4 linked regions of the Drosophila melanogaster genome follow. Changing the gene in region 1 together with any one later gene gives a genetic interaction. Each region holds a gene or a part of one and is shown in the gene's direction. Other genes may lie near its edges.

What was found.
Region 2: of corto (region 1) and mxc, changing one enhances a phenotype caused by changing the other (phenotypic enhancement), as found in Drosophila melanogaster (one study listed by BioGRID).
Region 3: of corto (region 1) and CycG, changing one enhances a phenotype caused by changing the other (phenotypic enhancement), as found in Drosophila melanogaster (one study listed by BioGRID).
Region 4: of corto (region 1) and E(z), changing one enhances a phenotype caused by changing the other (phenotypic enhancement), as found in Drosophila melanogaster (one study listed by BioGRID).

Annotation. Positions count from the first base shown.
Region 1 is NT_033777.3:5,082,323-5,088,664, reverse strand, and holds the start of corto (corto), read left to right. Parts: upstream 1-1,592; 5' UTR 1,593-2,639; coding exon 2,640-4,292; 3' UTR 4,293-6,342. UniProt on the Drosophila melanogaster protein: Essential protein required for proper condensation of mitotic chromosomes and progression through mitosis. Binds to specific polytene chromosome sites, many of which are shared with the posterior sex combs (Psc) protein.
Region 2 is NC_004354.4:9,237,426-9,245,058, reverse strand, and holds the start of mxc (multi sex combs), read left to right. Parts: upstream 1-1,591; 5' UTR 1,592-1,854; coding exon 1,855-1,900; intron 1,901-1,958; coding exon 1,959-2,126; intron 2,127-2,189; coding exon 2,190-2,364; intron 2,365-2,433; coding exon 2,434-2,734; intron 2,735-2,838; coding exon 2,839-6,805; intron 6,806-6,867; coding exon 6,868-7,570; intron 7,571-7,633. Other genes in the region: Larp7 (La related protein 7), read right to left, coding at 1-852, 913-1,183.
Region 3 is NT_033777.3:31,607,955-31,612,630, reverse strand, and holds the start of CycG (cyclin G), read left to right. Parts: upstream 1-1,652; 5' UTR 1,653-1,750; intron 1,751-2,815; exon of another isoform or gene 2,816-3,311; intron 3,312-4,676. Other genes in the region: Med (medea), read right to left, coding at 1-297, 384-652, 887-950. UniProt on the Drosophila melanogaster protein: Cyclin with roles in multiple processes including transcription, meiotic recombination repair, cell cycle regulation, and promotion of normal growth and metabolism.
Region 4 is NT_037436.4:10,634,075-10,639,485, reverse strand, and holds E(z) (enhancer of zeste), read left to right. Parts: upstream 1-1,606; 5' UTR 1,607-1,724; coding exon 1,725-1,846; intron 1,847-1,908; coding exon 1,909-2,640; intron 2,641-2,701; coding exon 2,702-2,862; intron 2,863-3,045; coding exon 3,046-3,060; intron 3,061-3,392; coding exon 3,393-3,490; intron 3,491-3,548; coding exon 3,549-3,738; intron 3,739-3,800; coding exon 3,801-4,370; intron 4,371-4,438; coding exon 4,439-4,848; 3' UTR 4,849-4,911; downstream 4,912-5,411. Other genes in the region: Cnep1r2 (CTD nuclear envelope phosphatase 1 regulatory subunit 2), read right to left, coding at 117-271, 786-932, 992-1,063, 1,161-1,182; CG34001 (uncharacterized protein), read right to left, coding at 4,914-5,219, 5,288-5,411. UniProt on the Drosophila melanogaster protein: Polycomb group (PcG) protein. Catalytic subunit of the Esc/E(z) complex, which methylates 'Lys-9' and 'Lys-27' of histone H3, leading to transcriptional repression of the affected target gene.

The DNA of each region.
Region 1 (6,342 bases):
AGGCTTAAAAGCAGCAGCGACAGCACCATAAAAGTCGGCATAAAGCTACAACACTATAGTGTCGATATTAACCCAAACCAGACTCCAAAAACCATCCACAATCCCAGATGCAATGAAGACAATTCATTAACAAAACCATGGCAACAACAGTAGAAAAGCAGGAAATCATTAAGGCTATCAAACAATAGTATCCATTAACTTGTATACATGCACCAATCATGTTCTTTCTTAAGAGTCTTAGAATAATTAGCACATAATACGAATTATTAGTTTTTAGTAGACAATAAGAAGCATTAGTTTTACTTTTTGGATTAAAAGACATGCTTCAATGCAAATCCGCCACATAGGTTTTCATTTTACTTGCACATCGAATAGCAACAACACTGAAATGCAATGGCAACTTGACAGCAACAACTTTCAGCCCCACAACAACAACAGCTGCAACAGCGATTCCAACAAACATATGCTTTGAGAAAAAAAAAAACAAATATGTACCAAGAGAGACAGCCAGACTCACCAACACACTCGCACGCGGACACACCTCCCCAAATAACAAAACAGCTGATTTGTTATCAGCAGTTGCTGAATGAGCCCCACAGAGCGAGCCACTCTCTTGCAGCAACAACAAAATGGGGGGAAAAAAACGACGCCAACGGCGGCTGCTATGGCAACGACCTTCCTTATTTATTACAATGTGTGTAATTCCCAGCCGTTTTCTCACTCTCTCTCGCTCTCTCGCTGTGTGTGTGCGAGCGAGACAGTGCCCTTTCCTGACTTAAATTGCCCATTTTTTAGTACAGAAATGTTTAATATCGCTGTCTGTTTGAGTTTTTGCAATTTGTTTTCCTTTTTTGGTCTGCAGAAAGTCTCTCAGTGCGCAGTTTAGCTTTCGTATTCCAAAACCGGAGAGGTTCTTGGGGTATTTGTTGTATTCTTATATTAAGGAACTACGTAGGTGTGTTCGAAGTTGCGTCGCAGAGGATTTTTAGGCAGTTGTGTGGAGATCACACTGCTTATGTTGATATTATATGGGTTTTAAGTTTTAGGGGTGTACCAAAGTGCTCAGAAATACATAAGTAAAAATAACCCATTCCCATTTTAACCAGGTGATGCTGATAGATTCATTCAACTCCCCGTTTTTAGTGCGGCTCAATTAGCTCTCAACTCGCCGTTAACCCCTTTAGAACCCATCTGCTTTTACGACCCCATAAAGCTGCTCCCAAAAATGCGTTTGCCGTAAAAAATTAAAGCACTAAAACGGTTAAAGACATCGTATTACAAAATAATGTGCGCTCTCTCGCTCTTTTCTCGCCTCTTTGTCTCTCTCTGTCTCGACCAAAGCAGTTGTAAAGATGGCCGCCGTGTAGTAACATGGCTGAATGTATACCACACACACACACGCAGGCACAGAGAGAGCGGTCACAGAGAGGGAGAGAGAGCGGCCATTGAATGCAATTTATATAGGAAAGCAACAATAACAATAACTCTGCGCTCGTCTCCTGCGACTGTGTGTGTGCTGAATACGTCACGGAACATCAGCTGTGCCGAACAGCAGGTAGGCGTCGGCAGAATGGAGCGAAGACGACGTTTCGAGTCAGTCGCTTCAAAGAGCTCGATTCGTGCGGACATAGGAGGAGATAAAGCGTGGTCTGTGGCACGTAATTAACGAAGAAGAGAGTTAAGAAGATTCAACGTCGCGTCGAAGGTGAACACGCAGTTAAAACCCAAAAACAAACGCAACGCAGCCAATTGTGATACGAAAAATAAGTAAATCGGCAGACAATCAACAAAAACAATAAAAGCAAAGCCTACACACAGGCGTAGGCGTCTAGCCAACAGCTGTTTTTCGTGCGCGCTCCGTATTCAGCATACTCGCTGCGCTTACAAACGTCGGCAGAGACCGCGGCAGAGAAGCAAGCGGCGGCAGCAAAACTACAAAGCAGAAACTACAATTCAGATCGCGTTTTTCTTCGGAGTGGATGAGACGTTCGTTCGGCAGTTCTATTGCGCATAGAACTAACAAGTTACCTACTCCGCGAACTCACCCCCGCGAGAAAAGAACAGAACAGAGCATAACCGAATGGAAAGAAGACAAGGAGTAGCTAAAAAGCAACGGTTAAGTTAGCCAGCAAAAACGGGCAAAAAGACTGAAAACACACGTGGATTGTTCACTCACCCCGACACGCGCACCCACTCGCACTCACACTCACCCAGCAGCTCCAACTGTTCGCTGCATTTATGTAAAACCAAACAAAGACTGACTAAAACGCTAATAAATATACAATAAACGTAACGAAACAAAGTTAAACACGCGAACAGCAGCTAATATTATACGGGTTAAAGCGAATTCCAAAGCAAAGCAAACACACATATGGATTAAGGTTCCTCCTATCTCAAAACACAAAAACAAAAGCAACAACCAACTCACGGATTACCTGCAGCGGCAAATTTACCGTTAGCCGCTCTTTTTGGATTACCAGTGCCAATAAAACCACAAAAGTGAATTTTTTCGAAAGTGAAGAAAGCGAAAAACATCCGCAAAATGATAAAAATCTAAATCTAAGTAAATAAGCAAACCAAAAGCGAATTCTGTGTTACCGAAACGAGAGCAAAAGCTAAAAGATCCCCTGAATACAGCAATGACGATGGCCGCCTGTTATGCCAACTACGACATGTCGTCCCTGTCGCACGGCATGTCGGCCCTGTCCGCCCTGCAGCAGCAACAGCAGCAGCAACAGCAGCAGCACAGCCAGACGCAGCAGCAGCATCATCACCAGCAGCAGCAGCAACACATGTACCACGCCGCCGTGGCTGCCCACCAGCAGCAGTTGCTGCAACAGCAGCAGCAGCAGCAACACCACCGCCATCACCACCAGCCCGCCAACACCAGCAGCAGCAGCAACTCGCGCCACAGCCATGCGGCGGCGACCCAAACGCAGGTCGCCGCCGCGGTTGCCAACAGCAGACAACAACAACAACAGCAACAACAGCAGCAACAGCAGCAGCAGCAGCAGCAGACTGCCAGCAGCAACAGCAACGCAGCCCCCGCTCCATCGCCGCAGAAGGACTACAGCATCCCGCTGCACGTGGACTGCAGCGTGGAGTACGAGCTGCCCAACCAGCCCAAGCCGCCGGCGGGCCAGAGAGTGGAGCCCCTGCTGATGATCCACCCGTGCTACTTCCGCAAGATGGAGTCGCAGCGGCGCAGCCCGTTCGTGAACAACATGCATGCGACCGCGCGGGCGGTGAGCAGCAGCTCGCTGAGCAGCGGAGCGGCCCTGGGCGGAGGCGGAAGCGGTGCGGCGGTGGCCACGGCGCCCAGCAGTAGTGCCGCGCGGCGTGGAGCCCGGGCGGCTACGAGCGCCCAGCAGCAGCAACAACAGCAGCAACGCTACCAACAGCAACAGCAGCAACTGCGGCAACAGCACCAGCAGATGTCGCAGATGTCGCAGCAGGCCCACTATCCCCAGCAACAGTCTAGTCTGGTCCGCCAGCACCAGCAGCAGCAACAGCAGCAGCAGCAGCAGCAACGTGCCAGCAGCAACCAAAGCCAACGCCAAAGCCAAAGTCAGAGCCAGAGCCAGAGCCATGCAGCCAACTCAGCGGCGGCAGCTGCGGCCCAGGCCTCGATAGCCGCCGCAGCCGCCGGCCAGTGGGATCAACTGGCTGCGCTGGCCGCCCGCACCGCCCTCACGCCGCACCACATGCTGCATCCCCACAGCCACTACGCGGCCAAGGGTAGTGGCGGCGGAGCAGGGGGCGGGAAGCGGGACGCCATGATCTCCGGCAGCTACGGACAGACGGCGGTCGCCTCGGGGAAGCTGCAACAGTCGCAGGTGCAGCAGCAGCAGCCACAGCAGCAACAGCAACACTGCCTGCCTCCGCCGCCGTGGGACGCGACGTCCATGCTGATGGACCGCTCGCCGATGGCCACAGTTCCTAGCAATTATCAGGCCGGCCCTGACACCAATCCCATGCGCCTCTACTCGGCCACGCCCACCGCCGGAGCGGCCTCGGGCGGGTCGGCGTCGGTGGGCGGAGGCGGGGCGGTGAGTGGTGCGGGGGCGACGGGAGCAGTGAACACGGCCACCGACAAGTTGAGCGGAAAGTACCGCCAGTACTTGCGGTCCCAGCGGATGCACCCGTACGCGGCGGCCGCCTCGCTCAACTTGGCAGCCGCCGCCGCTGCCGCCGGCCAGACCTCGTTTGTGCCGTTCAGTTCGGCGGCCACGGCGGTGGCGGCCACGCCCACATTCCAGCACCTGCCGCAGATCTCCTGCTACAACGTGTGATGCAGCACCAGCAGCAACCAGGACAACGGCAACATCAGCAGCAGCAACAGCAACTTGCAACACATGAGACAGGCGCCTACCAAGTACGCGTCGATGAAATAGCCGCCTCAAGGAATAATTAATAGATCCTCCCCTAAAACAGTACTATATATACACACCCATCAAAGCTTTTAGAATCAAAAGTAATTAACTCTAAAAATATTAAGAGATGAAACAAAATTCTGTCTAGCTGCTATGAGAAATTGTTGTCCGACGGTGAGAAAAGAGGAAATGAGCGATCTTTTTTTCTTTTAGTAATGGTAGTAATTGATAAACGATACAAAAACAAACAACAACAAAAAAAAAAAATGCAAACTATTGTAGTGATATTTGTTATAAAATAATTTTAGTAATTAATTTAATTTAAATTAAACAACCAACAAGAAACAACAGCAACCGCTCTGTGTAAGCCAACCACATAAACAATAACAACTGCAACAACGGCAAAAACAAGAACTGCAACAACAACAACAACGGCAGCAACATTAAACAAAACAATTGCTAAAAGTTACACATACGCATATTTAATTACAAATCAGCAAAATGTTACAACAACCATTTACCGAAAGAATACGAAAATATGAAAGGAAAATTATTACCAAACGATGGAGAGAGAAGAGTAAAGCAGAAAAAAGCAACACAAAAAATACGAATAAAAATTATTCAAAATTATGCAACGTAATTTGAAGCGAGATATGCAAAAATTAAGTAAATTGTGTTTTCAATTAACGTAGCGAGCAAGAAAAGCATAGTTCAAGTGATTTGGCCGCGGCAAGGAAAACTCCCCTTGCCGTCGGCTTTTGTGGCCAACTTTTCACACTTCCCACCACCACCGACCGACTAACTCCTCTTTCTGTTCGCCTTGATTCGATTTTCATCTTCGCTCCCTTTGTTTCCTCATTCTGCTCCGCCTCATGGCCTCCTCCTCTGCGGTGAGCCGTGATTGATTATTGTCATTGATGGAGGACCGGGCAGCGGGTTGGGGTGACCTCGGCGCACAGCACAGGGGTCCCTCGCTAATGGCAAACCGTTGAGCTGAGACGAATTTCGAAAACTTACAGGGCTCCGATTTATGGCTAGACATGAGGACGTCTCTTGAAATTTCACTATTAATATCTTATACTTAGATACTTATATACTATTTAATGTATTTGAGCCAGCTGTTGAAGGACTAAATCTGGCAACACACTACGATATCGAGAGATGTTGATTTCCACTCTATGTACATATATGTGTTCCACGACGTCGGTTATTTCGCTTTTACGCCTTTGTTTTCGATTAGAAGTTTAAATACGTTCTTGTTCACGCCACCAGCGGCCTCACTGTACTTACCTTTCAAAGACCAGCATTCTCGAAGTTCATTCGTTACAGTGATATAACCGAACTGCCTTTGCCTTCAGTGCTTACGGCTCTAATTTTGGTCTTTGTTGCGAGGTGAAAACGCAGCAAAATCTAATGGTTTCGAGTGGCCAGGAAACGCGAGATGTTATCAGCTGAAATTGTTTTTGCTCGCCCCCAAGGTCCCTCGGGAAAGTGTGTGCTTTCATTACTGATTGCATGTCGAGGCGATTGGCGCGGTTCCATGGGAGTTGCTGGGTTCCGGAAAGCAAATAGCTGAGTAATTTATGCATGGGCAGGAAAACCCGCTGAGGATTCAGCGCGCCATTAAGCCAATCGTCGAATTAATTAAGCCAAAAAAGAGTTTTCAACTGAAATGAACGACATCCGCTGCCGGGGGACCGGCACTGACTCATCTGTCCGCTTTAGGCTGCCCTACATCCAAACAAGTCCGACTCTACTCCACGACCATGCGGTCGCAATCCACTCGAGATTCAAGAAAGAAAAGACTTTAGTCCAATTGCAGAACGACGGAACCATTGCAGGAATTTGTGGGACCAGTTTAGACGCATCGGTTAGTCGAAGAAATGGCCAGACCACATATTAATCCATAACTTATTCAACATACAAGTCATTTCATTAGGAAAAACATTATTTAGGGGAGCTTGACTTT
Region 2 (7,633 bases), on another chromosome or scaffold:
ACAGCTTGCTCTTTGCCTCACTGACGATGCGACGCTGTAGATTCAAGTACTTATTGCGCATACTGCTCCAACTAGTCTTGGGTAGCACCTTGAGCTCCAGGGCACTGGGCTCAATGTTTGGCTTGTCCACGATCGCCTTCTTCTTGCGCTTGCGACGGCGCTTTTTGGCAGCTTCATCGCCATCGGTTGCCTCTGTTTTGTCCTCCTGCTCGGAGGCTTCGGCTGTGCCCTCTGCATCCGTTTCACTCGCTGTTTCCCCAGCTGTAGAGGTCTCGCTAGGCTGGCCCTCCTCCAACTTAACCCGTTTCACCTCGTGTATCTCCTCGCGATCCTTGTCGGTGGCCTCCCTTTTTAGATTTCGCTTTGGCAACTCAACCTGTTCAGCCTCTGACTGCGGCTGCTCCGCTTTCTGTTGTATCTGCTGCTGCTGCTGAAAGGAGCGCACACTGGCCAGATCACTGGGATCGGTTTCTACGGACAAAACGCCCTGTATCTGGGCAAAAGCCTTCACAGCTTTCTCCAAGGACCCGCTCTTTTCGAACTCGATAAAGGCAAATTCCTTGATCTTCTTAGTGCCCGGATAGTGGGGCAGGGACACGTAGGCCACCGGTCCGTAGCGGCTGAATACCTCCTTCAGCCAATCGTGAGTGGCATTTGCAGGCAGGGCCTCTACATACAAGGTTTTGTCGTTGACATCGCGCTGATCTGGTAGCTTGGTACGTCGCTTGACCTTTAGTTCGGTCTCATCCAGCTCCAGAAGCTGGGAGTTGCTTAGTGCCTTGGCTATCTGCTGCACATCCTGGGTGAGCGTCTTTATCTTATTGAAAGTGAGAAAGATTTCCAATGGTACATCTGTAAAAGAATAACATGATCAGTGTTATGTTGGCTGGTGAGCCAACCTTAGCTACTCACATGGATCCTGCTCTACGTAGCGCCGAAGGAAGCGATCCTTGCTCAAGTTGGCGTCACCGAAGTAGAATTCCATTTGACCGCGAATCGAATTGAACAAATGCCTCTTCCTTTTGCGTCCACCATCCTTTTTATCCGGCGATGCGTCTTCCGGCGCCGGTTCTTTGGAATTTTCCTCAGCTGGTTCAGTGGGTGCGGCTGGATCGGGTTTCTCCGCTGATGTCGCGGGCTCCTGACCCTCGCCCTTCTCCTTCTCGATACTCTTGGCAGCCATTGAGTGCCAGTTAACCAGTAATCTAAGTCACTCGAATAAAATATTGCACTTGGTTTTTGCGTTCTGATCTATTTGGCAACGCCGTCTAGTTATGAATTGCTGGGATGCCAGGTATTTGCAGCATTCCCATATCGATAGTTTAACGAATATCGGATTCTAAGTACTGTAACGTACACATAAAAACGAATTGAAGCAAGACCATCAAAGCAATAAAAACTGCTATAATTTGTTTTAAGCGAAAGAGACGTATTTCTTTGCTTTAATTATTACCATTATTTCCCACGCTCCTAATAAGGCTTGGCAGCCAAGCGCAAACAACGGGACTATATCGATAGTTCGGCGCTGTGGCAACCCTACTGCGTTGTTTTGGCGGGCGGCAAAAAAAACACAGATGCTATGCTAACCTATGTGTGTTGTACAGTGCGCCGCTAGAATCGGCAACAACAAAACGAAAATAGTCGGCGAATAGGCGAGAAAATGGTTTATTCTCTCTCGAATTAAAGCGCTGATTCAATTCCGACTAACTATTGAGTGATTAAACCTGCAACAGTCAATAATAAGGCATTACAAGTGCGTTCGATAAACCTAAAGTCTTGCAAGCGAAAAAAAAAAGAAAGGCAAGGCGAAAAGCGAGTGGATGGTGACGCTTAGCTGAGTCGGAAAGTCCAGCCATGGAGTCGATTGTCCTGCATTCGGACGTGGCTCGCTTGGTCCTGGGTAGGTTTTCCCTGGACGCTTTTCTAGCTCGCAATATTTATGCTCTTCCATTTTGTAGGCTACCTAGTCAACCAGAATCTAAAAAGGGCCGCACACACTCTGTGTCGCACATCGCCTCACCTGCGCCACGAGTTCCTGGCCCTTAAACAGGGCCTGCAGACGCACAACTTCCTTCACGGGGGTCTGGAGGAGATAATCTGCGAGCATGTCAAGATCACAAGCTTGGGTAAATTAGCACGCTCCTTGCGTTTCTTTTTTTTTGCGGCTGACCGAAAATCTCTCTTTTCAGTGGCCGGTGCCGTGCAGAAGCTGCCGCTGGATATGCGTATGCAGCTGCAGCAGATGAAGCTGTCCGAACGGGTCAGCGAACTGATAGCCGCCGGCGAGAGGAGTAGCTGTACCAATGAAAGCAGCACCCCAGGCGAGCCCACCATATCACAGTCGCATCGCAAGAGAAGGCGCTTGTAATTATAGATTTTTCCTTGACACAAGCACATCGGAATTCTCATTGCTCTCTTACCCCTTTTCCCCAGGCGCACCCATTCTCCCGTGAACAGCATTTCTTCGCCTTCGTTTAGCAAGCGACCGCGTCTGCTGCCGCCACACTTCTACTGCAGCGTTAACCGCGACAAGGTCAGGCAGAGTTTCCTAGGCAGCCAGGATGACTGCGAGGCGGAACTGGACGAAGAGGATGGCGAGAGCACAACGGCCACCGAGGACTTGGAGGAGGATGACTTACTTCCGGCGAATGGTCCTGGTCCGCGCAACAATTCCACGCCGCGCCAAGGTCATACCGAGTCCAATCCACTTCTGCTCACGCCGCAAAGCATGCCTGTAAGTCCATAGACATGCTTAATGCATATCTGCTTAATTAACCAATAGTGCATCTATTATGTATTCTAAACAAAAAACACTCTTTCGATTTACATTGATTTCAGGAACTGGCCTGCGCGATAATTAAGAATCAGGACTTCCAGGAGACGCTGGTAAAGAATATTAACGTAGCGCTGCAGACGGTGACTGTTAACAATCCGTCGGTAAGCTGTGACGCCATGTTGGATGGTCTAGTGAAGAACATACTGGAGGCCACCGAGAAGGATCCCTCGTTCGATCGCATCATACAGGAGGTGGTGATCGGGGATGAACCATTGGCAAATGAGGAGGACCCTGGTGTGTCGCCTGCCTCTGATGCTGCTGGGGCTGCTATTGTTCCCGCTGCTGATGGAGATGTGCTGCCGACAGAACAGGCCGTGGATCCCGTGCCGCCGCAAACACCGCTTATTATTCGCACCGCCGTTGCAGCCACCGCAGGAACCAATGCAGATCCCAATTTCTCCATCTCCAAGCTTATCGTACTGAACTCCAACGAGAGTGTCCAAAAAATGGTTGCTGGTTTGGATACGTCCAATATCAGCTTTACAAGCGAAGGCCTCAATATAAATTTTGCCGATCCAGCGTCAATGCTCAGCGAGGTGGAGGCGACAGCTGCTGGTCAGGTTTGTGTGGACGCCACCACCGGGCAGCTGACGTTTCCCATGTACCTCTCGAACGGTGGACTGCTGTCGCATCTTCCATTCCTGGTGAACAACGAGTGGGTAGCCCAGCAACTTGGGCCGGATGCCTTTGCCAACATTGATGACTCGCACATTGAGATATCGCTGCCGGAGCCGATTACTCTGTCTGCCAATCAGCTGCCCCCCAATTCCATTATCATTAGCAGCGCCCAGAAACAACCACCTCCCCCAAGCGTGGAGCCTCCAGTCCAGTTGATAAAAGATGCAGCCAAAGTGGACAACAAGGCGGGCCAGGGAACGGCGGCAAAAGAGCAACCGATAGATCAACTAGAGGAGGAGCAGCGAAAGTTTCCACCCGCATCCCTGGATTCATCTAGACAAGTCATGGAGAGAGTGACACCCTCGACGTCGGGAATAATTAACGTAAAGGCCTTTCGTAGCTTATCCACTCCCCGAAAGAGAACTTCGCATGTACGAACATTAACTTTTTCCCCTAAGGTTCCTCCTGGTGGCGTCCTGCATTCCAATACGCCGCTGTCCACTAGGCGACCTGGTTTGCTGGCCAAAGCCCAAGAGAAGCCAATTATCAACCATGTGGAGATCATCCAGGCCGCCTGCGACCTGAGCTCAAACGAGGGCCTTGGAGGAGTGCCACCACTCTTCGCCATGGAGGAGTGCAGCAATCAGACGGTGATCAGGGCCCATCCTCCAGCTGCCGCTCCGTCAGCAGCTCCGGTTCCTCCGTTGGTGGCCACGCCCAAAAGAAAACAGAAGCGACAAGCAGCGGTCAAGGCCTGCAAGCGAATCATCTCCCAGGCGGAATCGGAAACCAAGACGGATAAGGATCAAAAGAAAATTATGCCCAAAAATAACTCTGCCTGCAGCGCATCGTCGACCGCTCACGATGACAGCGCCGAGGCCAGCAAAGAGAATCTCCAGGAGCAGCAGAAGATTGAAGGAAAGCCAGATGTAGGCTCCGCCGCCAGAGGAGACGCAGTTGTAGATAACGATATGGCCGCCTGGCAGCGCCAGTTGCATGGCTCCAATTCTGACCTTGAAAATCGGCTGCGTGAGATTAACTCCAAGCGCGAGGAGGTAAAGGCCTCCGGCCGCTCGAGGCGTCCAAAGAAGAAAGATACACCCACTTCAGCTTCGTCGAGAGCACGAAAGGCTCCAATGGTCAAAGCGAAGGCGGAGCCCATGAATCTGGCAAAGAAACCGCAGCGCAGTGTTGGGGATTCCACTGAGAAGATCAACATCAAGATTATCACTCCTCAGAAACCAAAGCTCCTGAAGAAAAAGAAGGTGTTTGAGGCAAAAGAAGAAATCATAGACGAAACCATAGAAGAAACCATAGACGAAACCCAAGCGGAGATCGAGGAAAAGGATCAGAAGAAGAAAAGTGAACAAGGATGCATATATGCAAAGGATCAGGAGCAAGCGAAGGCCTTAGCGGCAGAACTGTCGCGACCCAACATGGCCATGCTTCTGGACACTCCGTTTAAAGCATCTCCCATTGGAGCAGGAGCAAGCGGAGCCGTAGAAGATGACACCACATCAAAGGAAGCTGGTGTTGGTGTAGCCGCTATCATCCCACCCACGCCAGGAATGGCCATTCCACCTCTGGACACGCCATATGGCAAGTTGCCCAGTAGCAGCTTTCTCTTTGGTTCGGATACCAAAAGTATTATGGATACGCCCCAGTTGAGTGCCATCACACCTGGATTTCGCTTGACACCTTTTGGACAGATGCCCGGTACTCCGATAGGCAGTGCTGCCAAGACTGAGTACTCTTCAGGCAGTTCCTATTATCGTCCGGATGAAGCGGAACACACCGATGCGAATGCGCAGTGCGCAATACAACAGTGGGGTGATCCGCAGGATAAGAAACAACCCAAGGTTCGGTCAACGCCCAAGAAGAAAAAGGTTGAGGCAGAGGATGAGCTTTCGCAACAGAAGAATCAAGAGCTAATAGAAATGGAGTGTTCAAAGAAAAGCCTTCATCCGGAGGACAAACATGCTGAGGACAATAAGAAAACACCGAAAAGACCAGAGAAGCCAATGGATGAACATCTGAAGGAAACTGAAAACGATGGTGAAAAGAATGAAACGGTTTTAGAAAAGACACCAGATGCTGTGAAGCAACCCGTTGTCCTGTCCTTGGAGCCCACCGTCCTTCGACGCGTTCGATCCTTTGGCAGTGAGGCGGTGGACAGTGCGGAGTCCGCTACAGCTGGCTCATTTCCCTCCGATCAGCAGCAGCTTCCGCACTATAAACTTTTGCCTGGCCTGCCCGAGGCAATTATTGAAGGATCTAGTAATTCTAGCTCCTCGGCAACCAGTTCATCGTCCTCATCCAGTTCGAGCTCAAGCTCCTCCAGTAGTTCATCATCGAGTTCCTCATCCTCGTCAAGTTCTCACAGCGGAAAGGGGGAAAGCAGAGGGGAAGAGGCAAATGGCGAGAATGCCGACGAAAAGTGCAGCAAGAAAAAGGAGATGCTACTAAACATAGATAACTTATCGAACATTAGCAGCACGGAAGACGAAGAGTGGCTGAAGGCAGCCGGTTCTGAGGATGCAGTTCTGCCCATGCTTGCTATCGACAGTCAGCCAGGTCAGTTAGTTAGCCAGGACGGGGAGGTCCGCTATCCTATCCGGAATTGGCTGACACCAAGCAAAGAGCAGGCCCAGGAGACGGATACCAGTGGAGAACAGCAAACAAAACCTACACCTCCTAAACCGGTGGCTGCTCCTGTTCCGCCTCCGCCGCTTCCTCTAACACCGCCAGCTGCTCCTCCGCCGCCTCCACCGCCTCCGCCAGAGGCGGACGATCCTTCATCCGTCGCTCTTCCAACGGCCTCTACAAGCCGTCAGGAACACCAACGCCAGCAGCTGAATGAAAAACGCCAACGTGTAGTGGCCAAGTTTAAGGAGCAACCCCAACCGATCAAAGGTCAAGGGAGAAAGACTGCCAACAAGAAGCTCACTGCAATGCGTGAAAATGCCAAACTGGCCAATCCAAGCAGTCAAAAATCGCCAAAAAATCGAAAGCACATCGAACCACTGAAAACAAAAGCAGCTAAAAAGCAAATAGAACCAAATCCGAATGTTAAGTCCACAGAGGCTACTGGTCCGCCAGTCGGTGCCGCCACAGATGCGCCAGCAGATCCGCCAGCCGGCAAATTGGATCCCGCTCTGCTCATGGCCCTCAATCTATCTGCGAAAAAACAGGAATCATTACCGATTGTAATCAAACCAAAGGTAAATCGAGCAGCGGTTGAAATTGCGGCACAGCCTGCCCCTGGAAAACGTGGACGCCCGAAAAAGGTACAGAACGGGGAGCCAGCCAATCTCTGTATGCGACGATCCTCGCGCCTAGTCGAAAATAAAAGTAAGTAGTTAAGATCCAATCGAATGGGTATTGAAACTAATATATTGTCTTTGCAAAACTAGCTCCTGCTCCGGAAGATCTCTCCAAATCCACTGAAGGAGCAAAGACGAAGACCCAAATCAAGGCAAATACCAAGAAACCGGCCAAGAAACGTGTCGAGGCAAGGGTACCCTCCTCCACAACCGATGCTCCGGCACTGCCCATTGTAGCGGAGGCGGAATCCACCCAAAAATCTCCAAAGCAAAAGCCGCAAATTCAGCAAACAATACAAGAACCTAAACAGGATCCACCGCCATCGAAATGCGATTCGGAGCCCGATGACAGCGACTTCGAGCAGGACATGTGCCTGAGCAGCAGCCAGGAGCGTTTTACCTATAATTTCACATATGCGGACAACGGACCAAAGTCCAGCAATCCGATGATACGTCAGCCATCGAGCTATTTCAAAAGCTATCAGATGCGCTTGATGACCGATGACGAACAGCTGCATACGCTGCGCATAGCCAGTGCCCAGGTGCTCTGTCTGGGCCAACCGGTGGCCAGCGCCATTCGCAATATACCCAAGAAGCGGATACGCCGCCTGACCGGCAATAGTGGCGGGACAGCGGCAACAGGGGGAAGTGCAAGTGTAAGTGGAGGAAGTGGAACGGGAGCGGAAGTTGCTGCTGCTGGCGAACAGCCTTCGGCCACGTCTACGCCGCTGGTGGAGAAGCCCCCATCCAGGAGTGGGCCGCAAGATGAGGAAGATCTGGAGGTGGCCACCATGTAAGTGGTGAACATATGCATTTTATTTTTTGTATGCTTATCATAATAATAATACCGTTCTTT
Region 3 (4,676 bases), about 27 Mb from region 1:
ATGGTGCTGTATGGTGCCGATGTCGTTGCCATCGATGTCCATGCTGCCCACCAGCGGACCCGCTGAGTATTCGTCCTTCACCAGGCGACTGGGGCCCGACTGCAGACTCAGGCCGGACAGATCGATGCCCGGAGAGACGACGCGCTCGTAGTGGTAGGGATTCACGCACACCGAGTCGCACTTGAGATCGAAGGCGAAGGCGCAGTACTTGACGTGCTTCAGCTCGTTCTTGTGCAGGTCAGGCCAGCGCCAAATCCGGGCGTATATGACGTGCGGAAAACCCTTGCGTCCAGCAACCTTCGATAGAGAATGGTAAAGTGGTAAGTTCATTGCTTATACACATTATCAAATTCGATGCAGAAAGTCTGAGAGACTCAACCTACCTGCAAGCGACCATCGAGGGTGCGCTGTATGGTCACGCACTTGCTGGGATGGGCTCCGTTCGTGGTGATGGCCGTGATCAAGGAGTCCAGTTCGTCGCGCTTCTCCTTGAGCTTTTTGACCAGCGACTCGATGGCTCGCTTGGCAAATCCCTCGCTTTCGCCGCCCTGCCGATGGCACATCAGCGAGTGGACGATGCTCAGACAGGCGTCCGCCGATGTGGGGGCGTTCGAGGGCGGCGGCGGCATTTGCACCATGTCCCGGACAATTACTGCAGATGGTGGGGGTAATTAGCTCTGAGTTTTTTTAGTAGATCAACGGATACTGTACAGCTCAATCCAATTTCATTTTAAATTTCAAAGAGTTTCAAGTTTATCAACAGTAAATAATAATGCTACGGTAAGATTTAGGATTGTCCACAATACTTGGCCACAAATCGATTTTAGAATAACAACTCGAAAAGGAGTTCACTATGACTGCTGCTCCTCTAGAGAACTTCACTTACTGTCCTGCGGGGCTACGGCGCCGTACATGTGGGCGGGCGGACACGCCCCCGAGCCGCCGCCCATGCCAAAGTCCTGGGCGAGCGAGCCCAGAGTGCGAGCATGGGCATCCACGGCGGCGTTGTTGCTGGATCCGGATCCGGAATGGGGATCGTGAGCGGCGGAGAGCGGAGTGGGGATCGTACGGTGGCTGGAGCAGGCGTAATCGAAGCCGGCGGCGGGCAAAAACAAGGCGTAGAATCACTGGCCAAAGAAAAGCCAAACAAAGGCGGCACGCGAATGTGAGCACAAAACAAACGGCGGCTGGATGGCTTTGTGTGAGTGGGCTTGGGGGGTGTTGCACACACGCATACACACACACACGCGCGCGCTGAACTAACTCGACTTGAACTCCCACAAAGTTGGCGTAATTTCCCTGCGAAAACTCTCCTCTCCTTCGTCTTCTCCACCTCCTTCTTTACGCACACTGGCACACGCACTGCACACACACACGCCCAGCGAGAAGTTTCCTGCTCAAATCCTTGGTAGAGACTGGCTTTTACTGTTTTTCGTGGAATTTCATAGTTTGCACTTAATTGGCTGCTTGGGAAACTCGAAAGTACAATTTTCCGCCCGACGAAATCCAGTTTTCCAGCCAATTTGCCTTTTTTTCCTTTTTTATTTTGTTGCGGCTGTGCAGAGTGACCGTTTCGCGATACAACATGGGCGGGCGTTGCCAGATGGGCAAAGCGCGAAATACCTACCTTGGATTTTTACAAACACCTAGTTTGGTCAGTTCTCGAAGATTTGATTTGAGAATAAGTTTATATTTTTTGGAAATAAGAAGCAAGAAAAGCAGATACTGATCAAAACGCAGAGGCATCCGGGTAAGTGCCATGAGATTTGTTACACCGACTTACACTCATTTCGCGGGCTGTTCAGTGCGTAAAACGAACTTTTTGAAAGGCCGAAAATCAATCGCCACGCGTTTTTTCCCATTCGCATGTGTGTGTGTGTGTGACGAAATTGAGGAAAGTTTCTTATCGTTGAGATTGGGGAAAATCGAAGGCTGAACATCTTGTGCAACAAGTTAATTGATGTTTTCGCATTCCCATTGAAAAGTTTCTTTCCATTGCTTTAATTGCTAAAATTCATTCATAAAAAATTGCCGTTGATGAGTCGTTTGTGTGACAGGTTGTTTCTAGAAATATGCATGTGTGTGTAGTGGGGCCTGAAATAGACCACCCCCTTCCCCTCTTCTCTTGAAAATGTTCACTTGGCAACAGTAACGAATTTCCTTTTCGCCGGAAATGCATTTCTCCGGCTTTTGTAAAACAGTTTGCTGCGTAGTTTCCATCTTCAAAATATCTTATCAAAATGCGTAATTTCAACGCTTATCTGAACGGAATTTCGATTTGCGGCGTACATATGTAAATATGTTTATATTTTGGCAATGACATTGATTGTGAAATTATGTGTGGGAAGTTTGCGATTCCCTGCCAAAACAGAAGCTTCCATTTGTAATAGTAATTTGGGAACTCAATTTAACTTCGAGGATTTGTTGCCCTCATATTTTTTAATTCCCTAACTAATTAAATCACTTGTCATAAAATTGTCTACATCCCGCATTCAGAAGCATAAAGTTATTATTTAATCCCTATCAGGCTTACGGTGTTGAAAATTGTTCGACACCAAAAAGAATTATTGCGGGCTTATTTGAGTTCGGTGTTCAAAATTGTTCGACATCAAAAAAGAATTATTGCGGGCTTATTAGGGTTCGATAACATTACAGCGAAATGTTAGTTAACAGAGAGAATCGAATAACATACACATCGATAGTGAGGGACTATCGCTTCCGCTGGCTTAGGGTATTTTATAGTACAAATTTCAGTTCGCACCAAATCTGTGGAACTTGTAGGCCTACTGGTAACACTGGTCGCTCACAATATTCTTCATTCGTAAAAAAACAACAAAGCGGAGAAGTACCGTTTTTGCGAGCGCGAGTGTTTGAATGTGTTTGTTTGCTTAGGAATAGAAAATAGAAATTGAAAAGGACCAAGTGCAAACGTACAAAGCTTTGCTAAAGCAGAACTAAAAAAAATCAGCAGGAGGAAAATGCACAGCTGATGGAGAAAAGTCCCAAGCACCTTCAGCCCAGTGTGTGTGGGAAAAATCGATCCGCAGACGGGAAAAATTGAGGATAAAATGCCAGCCTAATAAACAGAGTTCCAATTGTGATACAAACGCAGTACAAATTAGTTAACAACTAGCTTAAATGGCCAACGACAAGGTTTTATAGCTAACTATCTGACGCAATTGAATAAGCGTAAAGCTGCCAGCCAATTTATTCACTTATTTTCGAGTGCAATAGAAGCAAAAATTCACAACTAAACAAAGTTCATCTCAACATTCCTGCGCAACACAAAACAACAAAATGGCTGTAAAAACGTAAGAAAATGCTAAATTTATTTAAGAGTGGAAAAGTCGATAAAATGCAAAAAGAGAATCAAGGTTTTTTTCTTCATCTATCAGATGATTTTGTTTGTAGGAAAAAAGAAATTATATTAGGCATACATACAAAATTCGTTCATTTACGTGTTTGTTTCGCTTCCATTTGTTTCACAGCTGTTTGTCTGGTGTTTGTGTGTGTAAGCGAGAGAGTGGATTTGGGGTCCGCTATTCGTAGGTCGTTGCTTACAGAGTGAGCGAGAGGGTCGAACGAGGGGTGGGCGAGGAACTATGCTGCTTGCAGTGGTATGTGTGTTTGAGGGGCTGTGCTTTTTATGCAAGCTGTACAACATACATATGTAATGAGACTAATGTACGCCTTTGTTTCCTTGGCACCGCCTTATTCGCCTAGAAAACCCATTCCTATTGCCTTCCCCCATTTGCATATCTGTTTTATTTCCAATTTGCGTCAATTGTTTTACTTCATATTCCCCTTTTCCTTTGTTGTTCTCCCCACAATTTGTGTGTTCCGCTTCCAAAGTTCCCTTGCCATCGTACACACACGCGAGCTGCAAACAAAGACTTTGTATGTGTGTATGTTGTTCCCATTCGGATTTTTACCTCATACACACACTCACACCAGCACAGCAACTTGATTGGTTTGGGAGTGTGCGTGCTCTGGCTTGGAATTGCGTCAGCCAAAAATAAAATATGTGCGACGGATAAAACTACTTGTTTTCGTTTCAAAAACACTTTTGCTCATTTTAGGAAGCAACTTGTTTCTGGAAAACACAAGTAACAACTGCTATTACATTCCGTTTTGTACCCCGTTTCTCCTGATTTCACCTTCAGCGCATTTACTTTGTTTTCTGGGTCATATTTGTTGATTTCAATTTGTTGCGCAGTCGCAAAGTCGCGCAGAATTGCTTAATTTGTTGATTTTCATATTTTCCATAGCCTCCAAAATAATATAAATACAACGCATAAAACGACCCCACGCACGCATACTAATGAAACAGTTGGGTTGGTGTGGGTGTGTGGGTGTTGCTGTACCGTTGTTTTATTTATTCCTCTCCACACTTGTTTACATGTAAAAAGGTCTCTTCTATTCTCTGCCTACCTTCTTTGTGGAATGAATAGAGATGGGAACGGGTGTGAAAAGGGGAGAATTCATCATTAACCCTTAGGTGGGCAATGTCCAACTATTTGGGTCACGTCTACTAAGTAAGTCGCTTTTGGAATAAAGAGATTAACTTACAATTCCCGTTTATATATTCCCCTAAAGCCATTGAACCAAAATGATTAGTTTAAGGCTAAATAACCCGAAATCCAGCTGACATCTATTTGGCTTCCACTTGTGGTTAG
Region 4 (5,411 bases), on another chromosome or scaffold:
GGTACTTTAAAAATACGCTTACAAAGCGAGGGTGTCCGAATCAACATGTAGGAAAAAAGAAAAGGGTAAGGGAACTAGCAATTAACTAAATAAACGTCCTGGAAGCTGGCCGGTGCTCATGTACTGTTGTTGTTACTTTGCCGCGGCTTGAGTATCAGCTTCCCCGTGTCGTCACAGCTCATATTAAAGTCTCCCAGTACCATTCGCGTTCTCGATGTAATTATTTGCGGAGCTATGACTAGTTTCTGTATGCCCAGGATGAACAGGACGACTGCGGAGAGAAATGATAAGGTTTACAAAATCAGTAAGTCAGTTTCAAACCAAAAAAATTAGATTAGATTAAATGGAAGTGTTTGTTAGCTGAAAATTCTTAATCAGTTGGACTATCAATATTGATATATACAAATCGAATTTGATAAAGCGAAGAGCTTTGACAAGATTAAAGGCAACCTAATGTTGCTAAAATTTGGAGAATGTACTTATGTAGTTTGCATAGATGTGATAGATATAAGGAGTGTATTCTACTCAAAATAACAGTAGAAATACCTAAAAATTTGAAATTCTTGATTTTGATCCTTTCTTTTTACCGAGTAGCCTGAGATAACCTGATATATAGTATCGACTTGCTCTACGATATGATTATATGGATTTAAATAGCATGGTATGGCTTGGTATTAAAATTATTCTCCATACTAGGTAGAATATCCGAGGTTCAATGACCGCCGCTGTTGACTACAAAAAGTGACCTATGTACGGAGTACAGTAGTGGCTACACCGATTCTTACCCAATGTTAGGGTGGCGACTGTGAAGACGGGATGAATCCAGAGGGACTCCGTTAGCGGTACAACGGTGGTGCGCGGATCGCGTAGCCAGTACCAGGCGCTGATGGCGGTGCACATGGACATGGCGGAAAGGACAACTGCAAGAAGCTCTATGGTTATTACGGATTGTAATGCTCCCTGGTGTTCTCATTATACGGATGCAACTTACTGCGCCAGCGGAACGTCGAGGGACGGTACGATGAAACCACTTCGGTGAGGCGCCGCTCGAAGGCCTTGAGATCTGCAGAGGAGCGAGGAAAACAAACCCAGTTATGGTTGGTAAACATAGTCAGTGGCTTGCGCGTTTTCCGGCTCTCTTTTGCCGGCGAGTTACATACCTTCGCAGGCTGACGGTTCCATTGCAGCTATTTCCTCAAAGCTCGTGGCCGTCTTAATGCGATTAAATTTGTCCAGTTTAAATATTATTGTATTTATTATTATTATTTGATGAGGTTCTCATAGCTTTCTTTTCCTCTTTTTATGTTTTTGATGACATTCCACGTTTGAGAGCACTGATAACGGGCTGCGTTTCTCAACACTACACAAAGCAGGGTCGTACCAAAGAGGGGCTCTTTGTTTATTTCCTACTTTCAGTACAAAATGGTTGTATAGCTAATTTAAAGTGAGTATTATATTTATGTATTATTTATATTATATTTATATTATTTTAATACAAAAATATCATAGTTTTTATTATAATATAAATATAATTAATGGCTTACCGGACAAATTAAGTACCCACTAAATGGTCTTCTACATACACCCATGTGTCTAAGTTATTCTTCCTGCAGTACAACGGTCACACTGCGGCAGCTGTTGCAAAAAAAGGCGGATAATATTTGTAGCAAAATCAGTGTTTTTTATACGTAAAATCAACAAATATAAAGTCCCTCGAAGGCATTATGAATAGCACTAAAGTGCCGCCCGAGTGGAAGAGGCGTGTCAAGTCGGAGTACATCAAAATCAGGCAGCAGAAGCGCTACAAACGTGCCGACGAGATCAAGGAGGCGTGGATAAGAAACTGGTAAGCGCGGGAGAGATGGTGGATGTCTGGGAATCGAAAATCTATGTACACATATCCTCCAGGGACGAGCACAACCACAATGTACAGGATCTGTACTGCGAGTCGAAGGTTTGGCAGGCTAAACCCTACGATCCGCCGCATGTGGACTGTGTGAAGCGGGCGGAGGTGACTAGCTACAATGGCATTCCCAGCGGTCCGCAAAAGGTGCCCATTTGCGTGATCAACGCGGTCACTCCCATACCCACCATGTACACGTGGGCACCAACACAGCAGAACTTCATGGTGGAGGATGAGACGGTGCTGCACAATATACCCTATATGGGCGACGAGGTCCTCGATAAGGATGGCAAGTTCATAGAGGAACTGATCAAAAACTACGATGGCAAGGTTCACGGCGACAAGGATCCCTCGTTCATGGACGATGCCATCTTCGTAGAACTGGTGCACGCCCTTATGCGCTCCTACAGCAAGGAACTGGAGGAAGCCGCTCCGGGTACAGCGACTGCCATTAAAACAGAGACGTTGGCGAAATCAAAACAGGGCGAAGATGATGGGGTAGTTGATGTTGACGCAGATGGTGAATCTCCCATGAAGCTTGAGAAAACCGACAGCAAAGGGGATCTGACTGAAGTTGAGAAGAAGGAAACTGAAGAACCGCTGGAGACTGAAGATGCGGATGTTAAGCCCGATGTGGAAGAAGTCAAGGACAAGCTGCCCTTCCCTGCGCCCATTATTTTTCAGGCCATCAGCGCTAACTTTCCAGACAAGGGCACCGCGCAAGAGCTCAAAGAAAAGTATGTAATTTGATAACCAGGTTAGTAAATATCCCTTCTTACGGCTTTTTCTTTTTGCTAGGTACATTGAGCTTACGGAGCACCAGGATCCGGAGCGCCCACAGGAGTGCACACCCAACATTGACGGCATCAAGGCCGAGAGCGTTTCCCGGGAAAGGACTATGCACTCCTTTCACACGCTCTTCTGTCGTCGTTGCTTCAAATACGACTGCTTCCTGCACCGTAAGTTAAACGATGGGAACTGCTGCCAGCTGGGTTACCTAATGACTTTACGTTTTGTTTTTGCTTTTCTTTTCTTGTTTGGAAACAATATTATCTTACCAAAAAACACAAATCTGTACCATTTCTTAAACCCCCAAAAAAAAAAACGAAATTCCAAAATGTATTGAATTAATTGCAATTTAGGTCACCATGTGCAGGGTGAGTCGTTGTTGTAGTTGTTGTTTCGATAACCACACGCACACACTCTCATGCCGTTTGCCCGTCAACGCCTCCGCATCCTCATCTCGCTGTCTATGAATATAATTTTTATAATAACCCATATCGGTGGATAATTTGGCTATGTTTGTCATGTGTCTAAATTGACCCCTCGGTGTTGCTCACCTCATTTTCGTGTGGCTTTGGCTGGACCATTTCTCTCTATCTCTTCAAATGTAACCGATTACCCTCATGCTAATCCAAAAGCGTTTCATAGACATCAAGTGATTTTCGCCCGATTGAGTTATTCTAATCCCGCTGCTCTGTGTTCACAGGCTTGCAAGGACATGCGGGTCCCAATCTCCAGAAGCGTCGCTATCCGGAACTGAAGCCTTTCGCCGAACCTTGCAGCAACTCCTGCTACATGTTGATCGTAAGTTGGATGCACTTTATAAATTTAAATGGTATTTTAATTCTGTTATATGCTGCAGGATGGCATGAAGGAAAAGCTGGCGGCCGATAGCAAGACACCTCCCATTGATTCCTGCAATGAGGCCAGCTCCGAGGACAGTAATGACAGCAACAGTCAGTTTAGCAACAAGGACTTTAATCATGAGAATAGCAAGGATAATGGCCTGACTGTAAATAGCGCCGCTGTGGCTGAGATCAACTCCATTATGGGTCAGTTTTAAGTTAGCAGATTGGTTGGACCATGTGTTAAATATTTCACTTTTTCTCACCAGCTGGCATGATGAACATCACCAGTACGCAGTGCGTTTGGACAGGCGCTGACCAAGCACTTTATCGGGTCTTGCATAAAGTGTATTTAAAGAACTACTGCGCGATTGCGCACAACATGCTGACCAAGACCTGTCGTCAGGTGTACGAGTTTGCCCAGAAGGAGGATGCTGAGTTTAGCTTCGAGGATTTGCGACAGGACTTCACACCTCCGCGCAAGAAGAAGAAGAAGCAACGTCTGTGGTCGCTGCACTGTCGTAAGATTCAGCTAAAGAAGGACTCATCCTCGAATCACGTGTACAACTACACGCCCTGCGACCATCCCGGACATCCATGCGACATGAACTGCTCCTGCATTCAGACACAAAACTTCTGCGAAAAGTTCTGCAACTGCAGCAGCGATTGCCAGAATCGTTTCCCCGGCTGTCGCTGCAAGGCTCAGTGCAATACGAAGCAGTGTCCTTGCTATCTGGCAGTGCGCGAGTGTGATCCCGATCTGTGCCAGGCCTGCGGAGCGGATCAGTTTAAGCTGACCAAGATCACGTGCAAGAACGTGTGCGTGCAGCGAGGACTGCGTAAGAAACCTTCTTATATATCCATATTGGTCTTCGCCACTGTCAACTAATTTAATCTTCAATTGCAGACAAGCACCTGCTCATGGCTCCGTCTGACATCGCCGGCTGGGGCATCTTTCTTAAGGAGGGTGCGCAAAAGAATGAGTTCATTTCGGAATATTGTGGCGAGATCATATCCCAAGATGAAGCCGATCGCCGTGGCAAGGTTTACGACAAGTACATGTGCTCATTTCTTTTCAATCTGAACAACGATTTTGTTGTGGATGCCACTCGGAAGGGCAACAAGATTCGGTTTGCCAATCATTCCATTAATCCCAATTGCTATGCCAAGGTTATGATGGTCACCGGCGATCATCGCATCGGCATCTTTGCCAAGCGGGCCATTCAGCCCGGCGAAGAGCTATTCTTTGACTACAGATACGGACCCACGGAGCAGCTGAAGTTCGTGGGCATAGAGCGTGAAATGGAAATTGTTTGATAACGAGTCTACTTATGAAAATCGTATCATACAAATTGAATAAAACTATATTTTTGAAAACACACCTAAACGGATTTAGCTACATTGGCTATAATTGGTTTGGGTCGCGATTTGAAGATTAATTTTTTGGTGCAAACGGCGCGCACAGTGTACTCCGTTCTTTGGCGACTCTTGTGCTCCTGGGCGATCGTATGATCCAGCACTGTGCGCTCCGCTCCCGTGGTGGCGTTCAGCATACTGACATCCTGCGAGGCCATGCTCGTTTCTAGGAGTCGTTCTCCCTCATTGGTCTTGGACTTTTCCAGCACCGCAAATGGTTTATCCAACTTTTGTTCACGTCCCTGAAGAATGTGATGTCCAATGATGAGAATCTTATGATATAAGTAAAATCAGATTGTTTAAGAGCTGGTTAAATTATAACTTTACAATTACAACTCACAGGTTGGCCATATTTATTGTAGTAGAGATCGCCAATAAACTGGCCGTGCATATCCTGGTTGCTCCGCACCTCCAGGTCGCCTTGCAGCTCTATAATGGCCCAATCGCCTTTGCCAGCGTTTTGT